Linked DNA regions of Arabidopsis thaliana. The main gene of each other region encodes a partner of the protein of the gene in region 2 in a complex. Each region holds a gene or a part of one and is shown on either strand. Other genes may lie near its edges.

Evidence for each region.
Region 1: AT2G43030 (region 2) and emb2394 share a complex: the UniProt entries of both Arabidopsis thaliana proteins name them as parts of the 50S ribosomal subunit.
Region 3: AT2G43030 (region 2) and PRPL28 share a complex: the UniProt entries of both Arabidopsis thaliana proteins name them as parts of the 50S ribosomal subunit.
Region 4: AT2G43030 (region 2) and EMB3126 share a complex: the UniProt entries of both Arabidopsis thaliana proteins name them as parts of the 50S ribosomal subunit.

What each region holds. Positions count from the first base shown.
Region 1 is NC_003070.9:1,501,750-1,505,766, forward strand, and holds emb2394 (Ribosomal protein L6 family), read right to left. Parts: upstream 2,105-4,017; 5' UTR 1,990-2,104; coding exon 1,955-1,989; intron 1,513-1,954; coding exon 1,213-1,512; intron 1,103-1,212; coding exon 766-1,102; 3' UTR 502-765; downstream 1-501. Other genes in the region: AXR1 (NAD(P)-binding Rossmann-fold superfamily protein), read right to left, coding at 1-26; GLR3.4 (glutamate receptor 3.4), read left to right, coding at 3,893-4,017. UniProt on the Arabidopsis thaliana protein: This protein binds directly to 23S ribosomal RNA and is located at the aminoacyl-tRNA binding site of the peptidyltransferase center.
Region 2 is NC_003071.7:17,892,774-17,896,388, reverse strand, and holds AT2G43030 (Ribosomal protein L3 family protein), read right to left. Parts: upstream 1,594-3,615; 5' UTR 1,492-1,593; coding exon 676-1,491; 3' UTR 507-675; downstream 1-506. Other genes in the region: NPG1 (tetratricopeptide repeat (TPR)-containing protein), read left to right, coding at 12-340; PAO2 (polyamine oxidase 2), read right to left, coding at 1,949-2,687, 2,768-2,865, 2,956-3,058, 3,154-3,239, 3,354-3,441, 3,533-3,615. UniProt on the Arabidopsis thaliana protein: One of the primary rRNA binding proteins, it binds directly near the 3'-end of the 23S rRNA, where it nucleates assembly of the 50S subunit.
Region 3 is NC_003071.7:14,171,912-14,175,193, reverse strand, and holds PRPL28 (Ribosomal L28 family), read right to left. Parts: upstream 1,616-3,282; 5' UTR 1,575-1,615; coding exon 1,376-1,574; intron 1,051-1,375; exon of another isoform or gene 1,047-1,050; coding exon 814-1,046; 3' UTR 605-813; downstream 1-604. Other genes in the region: RIC1 (ROP-interactive CRIB motif-containing protein 1), read left to right, coding at 1-65, 168-604; AT2G33435 (RNA-binding (RRM/RBD/RNP motifs) family protein), read right to left, coding at 1,968-2,562, 2,656-2,735, 2,829-2,918, 3,038-3,148.
Region 4 is NC_003074.8:23,442,362-23,446,891, reverse strand, and holds EMB3126 (Ribosomal protein L1p/L10e family), read right to left. Parts: upstream 2,690-4,530; 5' UTR 2,624-2,689; coding exon 2,294-2,623; intron 2,220-2,293; coding exon 2,040-2,219; intron 1,948-2,039; coding exon 1,893-1,947; exon of another isoform or gene 1,632-1,892; coding exon 1,504-1,631; intron 1,377-1,503; coding exon 1,293-1,376; intron 1,224-1,292; coding exon 1,098-1,223; intron 1,010-1,097; coding exon 872-1,009; 3' UTR 562-871; downstream 1-561. Other genes in the region: TTA2 (fibronectin type III domain protein (DUF1423)), read left to right, coding at 1-561; AT3G63480 (ATP binding microtubule motor family protein), read left to right, coding at 3,083-3,199, 3,289-3,391, 3,551-3,594, 3,701-3,730, 3,818-3,940, 4,023-4,048, 4,121-4,214, 4,291-4,332 and 1 more. UniProt on the Arabidopsis thaliana protein: This protein binds directly to 23S ribosomal RNA.

The DNA.
Region 1 (4,017 bases), on a different chromosome or scaffold from region 2:
CTCCTGGATCTTTTTACTGCTTGCATCTTCGCAGCTCAAGCGAGAGACGATTTTTGCCTCCGGTGAACTGATAAACAAAAAGACTTTTCTTCAATCAGGGTTTTTGTTTATTTCCGAATATTTTATTGTTTTTAGGAAATTTATCGTTTGAAAAAAGTTATCTACCAAATTAAAAAATCGATATTAATATCTTACTGATTTTTTATATATATAAGCAAATAAGAAAATTTTGTAAATATTTTTTTTAAAAAAAAATTGTGAAAAAGAAGAAGATATAAGCAAATAAGAATAATCACCATGATATTGTTTTTTGTTTTATTTCCGACTATTATTATTCTTATAGGAAATTTTCGTTTTTTAAAAAGTTATCTACCAAATTAAGAATACAGATATTAATATCTTACTGTTACGATTTTTTAGATATAAGAAAATAAGAAAATTTGTAATTAAAAAAAAGAAGAATAGATTAAAAAATTGTTTTAAAAAGTTTATCTACCATGATTTTTGTCCGATTTGGATTGGTTTGGTTCAATAAGGAAACATAACAATAGAATCACACCGATGAGGCACTTTGTGCCCAAGTTCTTGTTCAATCAAAGCACTAAAGAAATTTTTGTCAGAGCATCAAAAACAATTAATGGGTTCCTTTAAAAACTTACTCAAGAATCCCAACACAAACATCTTCATTTCTAAACAAATTTGAGCAAATACACATAAACATTGAAAGGAAGAGATAAGTAAGTAGATAATAATGAAAAATGAAGATCATTTCTTCTTTCCAGCTTTTCCTTCCTTCCTCCGAACTATCTCATCGGAATACTTGACTCCTTTCCCCTTGTATGGCTCTGGTGGCCTCCACTTCCTAACCGTTGCAGCAAACTGCCCGATTTCGCTCTTGTCGTATCCACTCACAGTGATTCTTGTGTTCTCTTCCACTTTCACTTTCAGACTATCCGGTATCTGCATCTTCACCGGGTGTGAAAACCCGAGATTTAGCACCAGCTCCTTTCCGTCTACTGTTGCACGATAACCAACACCCACAAGTATAAGCTTTTTCTCAAATCCCTTTGATACTCCCACAACCATGTTATCGGTAAGCGTCCTAAAAGTCACACAGAAGTTAAAAAAAAAGATTAGAGAACAAACGATCTTTTAACCTCAAAAAAGTTAAGGACTTCATTGGATGACAAGAAAAGATGAGAAGTTTGTAACCTGAAAAGGCCGTGCATTTGGTTGGCTCTTCTAGTTTCGACGGTTTTTTTGACCCTTAAGAAACCGGATTCTTCCTTTGTAAGCTCAACTTCGCGTGGGTAAGTTAAAGCCAGCTCTCCTAATGGACCCTTCACTTTCAAGTCTTGACCTTCCAATGCAATGGTTACATTGGAAGGTACAGCGATCGGTTGCTTTCCTATCCTTGATTCTTTGCACTCAATGGTCTTACTGGAGTAACCCACTTGAGCAAAAGGTGTGCTTGAGACCTTGAACACATTTCTATCTCCCAAAAATGCTGACCTAAAACAAAGGGGAAGTTATCTATCTATCTTCAGATAAAACATGTCAAGAAAGTAAAACTCTACCAGATATATATCTAAACCAATACACAGAAACTGTTATTGGAACAAAGATAACGTTAGATTAAGGAAGAGAAACATTCTTGTAGAACTTTCAGTTTCCATGGCTAAAAACCCCTCTAGAATCCTGCTTTTTACACAGTGAGTTCCGCATAACACATTCAAATTCCCAAAATAAAAATCCACAATTTCAAGAGTCCATAACCAATTCAACATTGCCATCGATTTAAAAAGATAAAAATAACCCATTCAAAGAGATTCCTTATACTTGGGAGGCTCATGAACACAGTTTATAGAGATTTTTGAGTAGAAAATGCCAAGTAAAGAAAACGAAACCCTAGCGGAATGAAGAAGCTCTATGGTTTGTAGTATATGAAAAGTACCTGGGTTGAAAAGATGAGACGAGTGAGGAAGCCATTGATAAGATTTGATGATGGAGCTCTAAGCTCTGCTCCAGAAGGAGGATGAAGAGAAGAAGAAGAGCGTTTTATCCAGAAAAGACTTATCCATCGTCAGCTTCTGTAATCCCCTCTTTCAAATCATTACTTTCACGGCCCATTAGCTCACTATTTTCGGCCCATTACTTTTAACCATCCTTCTGTGGGACAATTCATTATTTGTGTAACCCATTTATCTATATTGATCATGGCCTATTATCTCACTGTTTCTAGGCCCATTATTATAATAACTGTTCACAAAATTTACCCAATGAACGTGGAGTTTGGATTAGATTAATGAAGTCAATAGATTATTAGTAGATGCGTTTGGATCAAAATTGTGCATCTTTCCCGATTAAGTATGTTTTCAAGTCGAATCTTTTAAAGGCATGGATTTTAAACTACTCTTAACAGACAAATTTAAAAATGAAATGGGCCCTTACCCTCAGAAAAATCCAAACAACAAATTGAGAAGATTCAAAGAAAAAAAAGATGAACTGTATATTTATTTTCCTGGTTCACATTTCATTTGGTCAAGATATTCTTGTTCTAAATAAATAAAAAGTTCGATACCGACAAGATATTTGTGGATTCAGTGGCATATTTTATTTTGTGTTAACAATTAACAAATGAAAATTTCAATAAGGAACTATGTAATAACAAATGCAGCTCTTATAAGTTTTTTTTAATAACATTCCTTAATGAACACTCTAAAGACAAAAAATAGTCGACCATGTGTTTCATGCACCTTTTATCATATGAAATCAATAGTACAATTACTTTACTATTTATGTCTGAAAATATCTTTTTCTTTTCTTTTTTTTTTGTGTGAAATTGATTTGACAACCGTTGAGGAGACTTATTCTTTGACGAAGGCGGCCTTGGAGCAATTAGGTCGTCACTCCTCACATTCACATTTTCAATTATTATTTTGCCTCATGTCATACGTAGTTACCCTAATTACCATTTAACTATATCCGTTGTAACCAAAAAGAAAAATGCATCAACTACCTTAATAAATGATAGTTACCAATAAGAGCCAACGTAAAAATTTGATTTATCGAATAGTATGAGGACACAAGTAAAGCATCGATCATACTACCCCACACCTTGGCCTACGTCTTCACTGACCACTCCAGAAATAGCACTCCAAAACAAAATTTACAAAATTTCATAAAATACCAAAAAAATAAGTAATGATAAGGAAGAAAATAGGGAAAAAAAAGGAGAGAGAATATTATGAATTATTCTTTGCTTGAGCTCAGAAACAGTTCTTCTTCTGCTTCTTCGACTTCTTTTCTCTGTCTTTCTTCTTTATGCTTAGTGCTAAATCACTCGTTTACTTGTGAAGATTATGGATCTCTGATTAAAGTTTGTTTCTCGTATTTATTCCAAGGTTGCTTCTTCTTTTTCTCAATTGGATCTTTTAATTTTTGTTTTTCTTTATGTTCTTACATATATAATCTTTAGTTATTTGTTCATTGAATTATTTATTACACTTTTTGCTTCTTTCTCTGCGAACCATCTTTAAGACGGCCCTCTTACACTTCATTATTTTCAGTTCTTACTTGCACATGTAAAGCACCAGTTTCTAGAATCAAAGGGCCTCATATAAATACATTATTTTATACACTATAAATAAATATACAGACACAAAAATCTGTATACACCAATCTCTCTACAGAATCTAACTCCCGATTTCTTGGTTGGTTTTGCCTTCTTTCACCAGATTTCTGGACCATCTTTTTTGTCTTTTGTTATAATCTCAATTTTGATTCAGGTTGGGCATTGTTTATTTCGCAGGTGTTACTCCAAATAAATCAAATGGTTATATGAGACCAGGACAAAGAAAAACTAGTGCTTTTGCTGGAAATTGTGATAAAGATGGGATTTTTGGTGATGATAAGAGAAGTTTCCATGGCGAAAGCAATCAGAGTTGTGTTGTTATGTGTTTCTGTCTTGTGGGTTGTTCCAAAGGAATGTGCTTGTAGAAGTAATTTCTCTAGAAA
Region 2 (3,615 bases):
GGAATGATCAGGTCGAATGTGGGAAGGACGAAAGGAGTTCAAACCCGCGCTAGCAGCTTTCTTGGACGGTTTATTACTAGACGGATCATCGGTTCCTTGCAAAGTAGCGGTTGGAGCGTTATTGTCCGAAAGAGGGAAAGATCATCAGCCAACTCTCCCCGTGGCTAGAAGTTTGCTCTCTGATGCATTGAGGATCGATCCAACAAACCGAAAAGCTTGGTATTACTTAGGAATGGTTCATAAATCTGATGGACGTATAGCTGATGCTACTGATTGCTTCCAAGCTGCTTCTATGCTTGAAGAGTCTGATCCTATTGAAAGCTTCTCAACCATTCTTTAAAAATCCATCATAAAGATTTATATTCATATGTTCATTTTTTGTCTGTCATCTCATGTACAATTTTAAACCTTCTTAATTTCTTCAAACTAAATATATATTACATTGTTCGTTAGTTCTTTATGTTTAGAACTTTAGATGCTGAATTTTGGATACGCTTTCGAGTTTTGTAATCGCAGTTGAATCACAATTCAAGAACATTAGCATAGAAATACTTCCGACTTATACAAAAACTCCAATTCTAAGAAAGAAACTGTGATTTAGCAATTCGATACAAATTTTCAAGGAATGGATAAACACAAGTCAACATTACAAAACAAAACAGAGTCTCTTCTCTACTAGTTCTTGGGAATGTTAACTCCGACGATTTTAGCGGGAGTAATACGAAGAAGATTCCCAGGCTTACCAGGCAAAGCACCTTTGATCATGACAACATTAAGCTCCTTATCAACTTTAACAATCTTAAGCTTCCTAATCTTTGTCCTCGTCCCTCCCATTCTTCCAGGCATCTTCTTCCCTTTATAAACTCTTCCCGGAGTAGTACCAGCACCAATCGAACCCAAAGCTCGATGACTCTTGGAACCATGAGTCATCTGACCTCTCTTGAAATGATGCCTTTTGATTCCTCCTTGAAACCCTTTACCAATTGTGGTTCCAGCTACATCAACGAGATCACCTTCTTTGAATATCTCATCGAACACAAGCTTCTGGTTCGGTTCGAATCCTTCGATGTTTGTTAATCTGAACTCTTGGAGATGTCTCATTGGGATTGTACCGGCTTTTTGGAGATGACCGGTTTCCGGTTTAGTTAGCTTTTTGTCGCGTACACGACGGTAACCGATTTGAACCGCGTCGTAACCGTCTGTGGCTAGGGTTTTGATTTGGGTTACGATGTTACCTTCGCGGAATCCGACGACTGTTACTGGAACTACTGTGCCGTCTTCTTCGAAGAAACTCATCATCCCGAGTTTTGACCCCATTACTCCGATTCCAGCTTCCATGGATGATGAAACCACGAATCTGGTTTTTGGTGATGATTTGATGAGAAGTGAAGAGGATTTCGCCGGGAGGAAAGTGGGAGTGAAGAGTGAAGAGGATAAGGTTGTTTTGTTGAGCAGAGATGGGAAAGAAACAACCGCCATAGCTATCGCCATTGTCGGAGATTCACAGAGGAGAAGAAACTCTGAGAGAGGATAAAGCTCTGTGCCACACTCTTATCTTCTTCTCCAGTTATGAAATTTATTATTATACCGCTGAAGATACTCATATTTACAAAACACGGTGGTTTACCTTTTGCAACATCGGTCCTTTAAATCTGATTTTATTCATTTTGTATTTTTTCTTCTTATTGTATTCAATTTAACCTCTTTCAAGATTGGTGTTTATATTAGTTAGCACAAGTGAGAAAAGAAAATAGTACTTGAATTCTTAAAGATGATTATCATATATAAATAATATCACAAGGATATAATGTTCCAATTTATTGAATTAAAAACACTGAGAAAATAAGACTGGGAATGTTTTAAACGATCCGACACGAGAATAATTTTAGTTTCATATTAAGACAATCATCACTTGAGGTTCCTTCTAGTAAACGATAACTGATGGAGTTTAGAGACGAGATATAAGAAGAGGTACAGAGGCAGGTCCTTCCTCGCCCATCACAGGCTGGAACAGATCCAACTCACCATACCGCTCCAGAACTCGCATCCTACAATCTTCAGCTGCCATCAATCCAGTTGAATAAGCGCCGTGAACCGAGCCCGGGAAGCTCGAGCTCGTCGCTTCACCGGCAAAGAATAAGTTATCCACTGGAACCCTAAGCCTCTCGTAGAGATCATGAGGTTTGCCCACGATATCATAGCTATAAGATCCCATTGAATTCACATCAGATCCCCACCTCGACACGAGATACTGTACCGGAGGCAATGCATCGGGAAGAATTCTCTGGAGTTGCAAGACGGCGAAATTTGCAGCTGCTTCATCAGACATTTTCTCAATGTCTTTGGCAAGCTGACCAGCCGGCATGTAAACCAGAACCGGATGACCCGTGGCCTTGTGCAGGTTCAAAAAATAACTGCAACCGTAGGAGGTTTCAGCTACCACTCCTAGAAACTCTACTTTCGGCCAAAAGACTTTCTCAAAATGTAGTATGATCTTGTTCTCAATACCTACTCCTAGGTCGTTGATTGCTTCTTGTTTCCACTCAGGTAGCTTAGGTTCGAACTTTATGGTTCCCGATTTTAAAACTCCAAGAGGGACAGCAATGACTGCAGCATCCGCAACAAAAGTTTGCCCGTTTTCTGTCGTTACCTTCACTCCATTGTACCGCCTGACAATCTTAGTAACCCTGAGAGAAGGAGAAACACGAGGTTATGACTGTGAAACACTAAACGAATGCCATAACTCTTGAAAAACGCAAAAGCTTACCTGTGGCCTACTCGGATATCAAGACCTTTCGCCAGAGTATTGATGACAGGACGATACCCTCTAACCATAAGACCGTGTCCACCAGGCAACAATTCCTCCTGCACATTTCTCGGAGTGTTAAACCAAAAATTCAAGAAGCAGTCTATACAAAAAAAACTCTTAACTACGAGAGAAAGAATGTAACTAACCTGGTCCCAACACTTTGCAGAGATGGTTTCAGCATCTGCGGCAAACCATCCTTCCATGCGGCATACATACCATTGAAGTACGTTGTGTGCAAGCCCCTCTAACCTGGATGTGAAAATTCAAAATTCAACCATGAAACCAAGCTTGCAAAAGTGCATTGCCTAAAGAAATTGAGAAAATGAGACATTATGTATACAAACCTCAGCTCGGGTTTCCTAGAAAAGACAATTGAGAAAGCCTGAGAAATTGAAATGTCAGCATCCTGCTCATCCCTGACTTTATTGATCTGTGTTTGCAATAGACGAATCTAGTTAGCATGAGCATCAATCAAAGACTTGCAACATCAAGAAATACGAGAATAGGAATAAAGAAGAAATCTAAATGAATGTGAAGGACATACCTCTTCCAAAATACGCTCAAACGTTACGCCAATCTGAGTTACCAATTCTTGAGGAACTTGGTTGCCATCCATATCAAACAGAGCATAGCTACAGAAACAAAAGAATTGCACTGTGAGTTTTAAGGTGTCAAACAAGAATAAAAAGATGGAGGTAACAAAATCGAAATATTCAAGCAAACCTCTCGAGATCATGATCATACAGGACGGAATTGTCACCGCTAGTACGATACAAGGGCAGTCCAAGTCTTCCAATAACTGGTGC
Region 3 (3,282 bases), 3.7 Mb from region 2:
AACTCAAGAACATGAGAAAGGTCAAGTCGTTTCCAGGGGAAATTCCAACAAATACAACCCGCAAGGTTAGTTATTTTTGCAAAGTGTGTTTTTCCTTTTCCCTTAAAGTGTTAAGCTTTGAGGAACAAATCTGGATTGGTTCGAGGAATTGATGTGTATCTCAATAGGGACGAACCAACGTGGAGCCGGGCTAAAAGAGTTACTGCCTTCGAACACAAACGAGAAACCGAAACAGAAAACAAGGCGGAAACCCGGAGGAGCAGCTTCTCCAAATCATAACGGGTCTCCGCCTAGAAAAAGTAGCGGAAATGCTGCATCATCAGATGAACCATCAAAGCATTCAAGACATAACCGAAGCGCACACGGGTCAACAGACTCATCGAATGATCAAGAACCATCAGTTCGCAGAAGGCGTGGTGGTATCCCGGCTCCAGACACAGAAGTTCCTAATCAAATACCTGATGGTTCAGCTCCTCCACGGAAGGCTACATCGCGTCCTAGGAAACTAAAAGGATCATCAGCAGGAGGAGAAGGTTCGATTAAGAAGTCTTCAAAAGGAAAACCCGAGAATTCAGTTGATACAACCTGTAACGATATTATCTGAGAAACATAAACAAAACCATGAAATGTATTATTTGAGCCACCTGCAAGTGAGAGTTTGTTTTCGTTTCTCTTTAAAGTCTTTTCTTGACAGTGTCTGATACAACAACTCAGAGATTCCATTGATACTTACCAAAATCTAGAAAGGAAATGTACGAGTACTGCAAAAGGAGAAGCAAGAAATGTATATAATAAACTTTGCGATCATCATATCTATTTCTTGCGAAGATCAATGCCGGCTTTCTTGGCAACAGCGTCGAGTCCGTTCTTCTCAATGGTCTTCAAAGCCTTAGTTGATAAACGAAGTTTGACAAAACGTTTGCCAGCTTCCCACCAAACTCTCTTGTATTGTAAGTTGACGAATTGCAACTTCTTGGTCTTGTGGTTAGAGAATGAAACTTTGTTTGCTCTGTTTGCTTTCTTCCCAGTAAAAGGGCAGATTCTACCTGACATTTTGGAAAACAAAAACACAGTTTCAAGAAAAAAGGAGCAAATTGCCCAATGCTCAGAATCATATAAATGTGGTCAATTTTGGAGAATTTTTTTAACATAACATCAAATTCAAAGGAAAAGTTTAATACGAGAAATTATGCTACGGGTTTTAAATACACTGCTCATTTTCATATCTAAAAGCAAAGACATAGTTCCAGACAATTCAACACAAGCTTGCTAACTCAGAGATTCGAAATTCGACATGAATAAAACGAAAGCAAGATAAATTTAGTACGCCAATGCATTCGACTAAACCCTAAGAGAAAGGGAAAAGGGGAATTACGTGCGACGATTGGCTGAATCCCGGGGAACGAAGGAAGGGAGATACGGTTGATGACGTCACTGGGAGTATATGAGATTCTTAAGCCGCTGAGCTGGGAGGTGAGGAATCCAAGCTCCTTTGAAGTCACGGTTGACTTGGTCATGGACTTGGCTGATGAGGTCATTCGTAGCCAAGCGCCTTGTGTCGCCATTGTCGTCATTTTTGGTTGCTGTTACTTCTGCTTCGAAGGAGGATTTGGATAAAGAAGGAGATTGGGTTCATTTTATTTATTATTTTGTAGAAAATGAAAGACGCTTTCTCATTCAGAAGGTTACGTTCTCTTTTAACACAACAATTTTTCAGTAAGCAAACCGGTCCATATAGCCACCAACACAATAGTATGGTTTCATCTTTCCCTTCTTGGATTCTCTAATACATAAAAGTAACGAGACACAGGTGGTGATGAATAATCCAACCTGATCAATCCCAACGATTACAAAGAGATTTTTGAAGGGTTTTTGATTGTAGATGCTATGTATCTCTGAACTCGGTTTGAACCGGTTATGTGGTAAAGATGAGAAGAATCACAGAGTCTCACTTGTTGTGGGATTATTTACCCACTTGGGAACCGGATTTGGTAAAGCTCTTTAGAAACATATTCTGCTTTCACAATCCGGTTATCATATAGCCTTCCGTGTAAAGAATGGGCTGCATCACATGTCGCTTCTGGTCTTCTGTACTCAATGAAGATACAACCCGTCTCAAATACATCCTCGGGGTCTTCTTCTTGTTCTTCTTCTATCTTGTCGCCAGCATCCCATCTTGTCTTCACGGTACGCACTGATGCTACTTCTTGTGGATTCTCTGCCTCGGCCTGCGCACTTTCTTCAACAATCTTTTCACAATGCTCTTGTTCAGTGGAGTGTAGATCTTCATTTTCTTGAGTGCTTGTTTCAGCAGCAGTATCCGAGCACGGTTCACATAACTTGTCTTCACCTGTCAAACTGTCTGGCATGACAACCTCTGCAAGATCTACATTGTCTGCAATATCTTCCGCTTTCTCGGATCCTTCATCTTTCTCCTCGATCACTGACACATTCATTTCTTTAGAATCAGTTGATTCTAAGTTCAACAATGGATTTGTTTCAGAAACAGTGATATCTTTGCTCTTGTGTTCCAAGATGTTTATCGACTTAATAACCCCAAACCTGCATCATGACAAGACCCAGAGGCCTATTTTCTTAATTTACTAGCTTTTAAAAGCTCAATGGACTCATGGGAAGATGATCTCAGAGCTTAACCTGGCACATTCTAACCGTACATCCTCCAAAATTTCTTTCACTTCTTGCTCGGAAAACGACGTGAGATCTTCTGGGTCAACCTGTCAAACAAGAAAGAATGGAATGTTAATATAGCCTCACATAGTTTATTTGGGAAAGATTCACAAGAAAAAGGATACACCAATTATGCTTACCACATTTTTTAGCTTTAGAATATTCTTAGGCTTGCCAAGAAGTGGTTTTGCATGGCTAGGTATCCCATAGAATGGTGGATTCTCATTCACCTGCAACACATATTACGTACACACACCACTCTCACAAGTAACTAAAGGAATTTCTGTTCAATGTCACCCATACAAACACAACATGAACTAACGAAAGCAAAGTTGGGTCACTGAATTACCGCTACGGATGATGCATCAGGAAATGCACAAACGGCTGTTATTACACTGCCACCTAACCTCATACCATTTAGACCAGCACAAGCTTTGAGGGTAACAGATCCATCAGTGTACTGAAATATAGAGATTTAAAAAGAGTTAGGGCTGGTTAATATGAATATACTTGGAACTACAGTCACATTCATGGTTACTCTGTAAAAGTTACAAGGTAATAACACCTTCCCATGCTACCCGGAAAATGAAAAAT
Region 4 (4,530 bases), on a different chromosome or scaffold from region 2:
GATTCCTCCACTCCTGCTGAAACTAGTGCACCGTTCATATACGAACAGCCAAAACCCAGGCATGAGAGGGGAAGCCCTAGTCAGGACACGGCGTGGCTGAGATCGGTGTGCTCAGATAACCCGCATAATCAGCTGAAAAGGTCAGCGAGCGTAGCTGATGCATTCCACAGAGAGAGGCAAGTTGAAATATGTGCAGTGGAGATGGAGTTGGAAAGGGGTTCACCAAAGGAACCTCGTTTCGAAGAGCTAGAGAGCATTGTGAGAATGAAGCAAGCAGAGGCAGAAATGTTCCAAGGGCGGGCCGATGATGCACGAAGAGAAGCAGAGGGACTGAAACGAATAGCAATAGCGAAGAAGGAGAAGATAGAAGAAGAGTACAATCGGAGAATGGGGAAGTTGAGTATGGAGGATGCACAGGAGAGAAGGAGGAGGAGGTACGAGGAGTTAGAGGCAATGCAGAGAGGGCAGAGAGAGTTTTATGAAATGAAGATGAGAATGGAGGAAGAGATGAGAGGGCTTCTCACCAAAATGGAAATGACGAAGCAGAGTCTGGCCTTGTAATATTTGTAGTAGTAAATCACATGTAATGTACACAGAAACCTCCTCCTCGTATGTAACCTAAAGATCAATGTAAGGTCTTTTCTTTTAGAGAGTACTAAAGAGTTCTGCGTCCTGACATGTACAGCCCCTTGCCAAATTTTAATAGGCAATAGTAAATAAATAACGACAAGAAGCAAATGGCCATCAAAGTGATACAAAGCAGTGAGGCGTGAAAAGATTACTAACAGACTAGACTTGGTGTTTCTCTTCTCTGTCTACACTGGCATTGCCCGTCTCCCAAAAGGACCCCATTTACAAATGGCGTTGTCGATTAGTTCGCAGTGGGAGGCTTGAAGTCTATCATCTCTCTTATGTTCAACTTGATGGAAGGCCCCATTGACGAGCATATGTGAGCGCTTTTCCAGTACACTCCTTTAGCTCCCTTTGGCTTGTTTGTCTCCACCGATTTCTGCATTTCATCATTTACTTTTCCCTCTTCATTTTTTTTTGTATTTTAAACCACAGAAATACGTAATAAGAATGGAGAATTAGCCTACCACTGCTGCAAGGAAGTTTATGAGAAGGTCTTCCTCTGTAAAATTAACTTTCCCAAATGGAATGTGAACAATCCCAGTTTTGTCTGCTCTGAATTCAACTTTCCCCTTCTTGAACTCTTCAATAGCCTGAGAGATTTATGCATCTTTAAGCCATGACTACCAGAATCAGGAAAAGATGTTGCAGAGTAGGCTTACCTGGGGAATGTTCGCTGTGACTGTACCAGCCTTGGGATTTGGCATGAGCCCCCGTGGTCCAAGAATCTTTCCCAGGCCAGCAACCTAAGCGCCAAGTTCAAGAATGTTAGAAAATAGATCACGAGTTACAAGTATCTCATGCCACCTTATTTGCCAAGCATGACGGTTTCATATGCTGTAACAAGTAGAACATTATATCATCAACACATACCTTGACCATCATATCCGGGGATGCAATCAGCTTGTCAAACTCCATGAAGCCTCCTTTAATCTGTTCGATTAAATCATCACTGCCCACAATATCTGCCCCTGCACTTTTGGCTTCATCAACCTTCTCACCTGGAAGTTCAGCATGGAAATGGTGCAAGCCAAAGATTTAGAAAGAATAAGCCACATGATACACAAGAACTCCATCCAATCAATATATAAATAAAAAGTCAATCGCACCAAACAATGTTGCATCTAGAGAAGTACTGACTGACTGACTGATACCGTAAACATTATCTCTGTCCTAAGTCCTAACAGTGAATTTGGTGACTGAAATGGTAAAGCATAATCTCTGTCCTAAGTCCTAGCAGTGAATTTGGTGGGGCAATATACCTTGTGCAAGAACAGCGACTATAACAGTCTGGCCAGTTCCCTTAGGCAGGCTCACCTATACAAAAAGACAATGCATTGAGATTAAAAAATGTTGTGGAATGAAGCAGCACAAGATAGAGTGTATATCCAGCAAAAGGCAAAGCAGACCGTTGCACGCAGCTGCTGGTCATTGTACTTAGGATCGATGTTGAGACGGAAATGGGCTTCAACAGACTCAACAAACCTTGTGTTGGCAGTTTGTTTAAGCAAAGAGATAGCAGTGTTGACATCATACTCCTTTTTGGTTTCCCTTAGCTTTTGGATTTCCAAAAACCTCTTAGACCTTGTCTGTCAATGGGTAAGCAAACAAAGTGATGATTCACGAGTAAAGGAAGCGAAATTGAAGTAGGTAAAGCACATACTCTATCTCTCTTGAGAACCAAAGCGGCTTTTCCTTTCTTAGGCTTGGGCGGATCAAGGACGGCGGTGGCGGTCTGCTCCAGGTCCTCCTCCGTGTCGAGGTCAGCCTCAGCGGCCACGGCGGAGACAATAAACTTGTGGTTGGAAGCTCTGTCAATAGCAGCACATCTCCGGTCCCTGGAACCCCCAAGGAGAAGAAGCGGGAAGCTCAAGTGGTTGGGTCTGGAGCTGGCAAAAGAGAAAAGAGATGGAGTAGGGGTAAGGTCCTGGGAACGAGTGGATGCGGCGGCGTATGCTAGCATGAGAGAGGAGTGAGTAGCGCAAGCAGCCATTGTTGGAGCTCTCTTTCTTTCTGGGTACAAAGAAGAAGAAGAAGAGTGCGAGTCTCCCTAATCCACTCCACGCCCAAGGGGATAACAACACCCCCTATTCTTTCTAAGCTATTATTCTCTGCGTGGCGGGCACCTTAGCTACCGTGTTCCTAGTGACACGTGTCTTCTTATGGACCATTAGATCTTTTAACAACCCACACGCGTATCCTCGTGACCTCTTCTCCTTCTCCTTCTTCTTCTTCCTTCTCTTTTCTCAAAAATCAGATTTCGAGTTTCTTCTTTCCCGCCCGTAAGAGAAACCCTACTCTGACTCTCCACTCCATTTGAGAGGTAAGTTCCGATTCCTTTTCTCTCAGCTTCAAATTTCCTGTGCTACTATTTCCCCAATTTCATTCATCTTCTGCTGACTCATTTTGGGTGTTTCACTGTAGACTGAGCTCGTTCCGATAAGGAGAGGAGATGTCTAACGTAACCGTCTGTGCGCGATTCAGGCCGCGAAGCTCTAAAGAGATGCGCGATCCCAGCAGAGATGGTGTCTGTGCTCGACCCATCGACGCTGAAACCTTCGTTTTCCAAGTTTGTCTACTCGACGCCGTGTGCTTGATTAATATTGTCTCTCTCTCTCTGTCTCTCAAACTCTATCTAGCGTTTTTACTTGCGTGTAGGATGACAAGGAAGATGAATTTACATTTAGCCTCGATAGAGTTTTTTATGAGGACTCTACCCAAGCTGCGGTTTATGAGTTTCTGGCTCTCCCCATCATGAGAGGTACTAATTGATTCCTTGATCTTCTCTTCTGGATTTTAGATCTAAACATTTGAGCACCAATCTTATGATTTTACAATGTAATCAACATTTTTGGTTTTGGTTTCCTCCTACCTTTGTCTTTTGCATCTTTTACCTTTGTACTACTACTACTACTTTCAGACGCTGTAAATGGTATAAACGGAACAATCATCACTTATGGACAGGTTTGTTCTTCTCCTGATCTCTTTTATCTGGAAATGCTTTCAATGTCTTTTTCTTAATTTGGCAGATTTTGATCTCAATTTGATCGTTTCATGTTATACTATGCAGACAGGGGCTGGGAAGACTTATTCCATGGAGGTCACCTAACTCATCTTGATACCTCTTCCTGTAGCACAAGGACCATTCCTTCTTCTGGCTCATTTTGGTTTTCTTCGATTGATTCAGGGACCAGGCATCCAGGACTGTGATGAGCACAATAAAGGACTTCTTCCAAGAGTGGTCCATGGGATGTTTGAGCAAATCAGCTCTTCCAATGATATTGCAAGATACACTGTTAAATTGTCTATGGTACTGACTTAAATGCACTTGCTATAAGTCTCCTTTCAAGCTCTCCTGTATAGACATCTTACGTGTCTTTTGTCTCCTCTAGGTTGAGATCTACATGGAGAAAGTCAGGTATTGTGTATGTAATTCCCTCTGATTTCTTCTAGGGTATATAGCTTATCGATAAATTCATATATCTCTCAGGGACCTGTTGGACTTATCAAAAGCAAACATACAGATCAAGGAGAACAAAACACAAGGAATACTCTTGTCAGGCGTTACAGAGGCTAGCTTCATTGTCTTATATCTTCTATTTGCTAGTGTTGAGAAAAATCTTTACTGGGTAGGCAAGTTTTAATCATTCGTTGCTTCAGGTGCCTGTATCAGATTCGGTGGAGGCATTACAACATCTATGCGTAAGATAGCAGCTACCCTAAGTTTCTTAATTGCCTTATACGGCCTTCTTCTTTCTTATTTCTGATGCCAATTGCCATTTCAGACCGGTTTAGCTAACCGCGCAGTTGGGGAAACCCGTATCCTCTTAGCTTTTACAGCACTTACTTGTTCAATGTTTCCCCATTTAGTCGATAGTGAGATTATGATTATGCTACTCC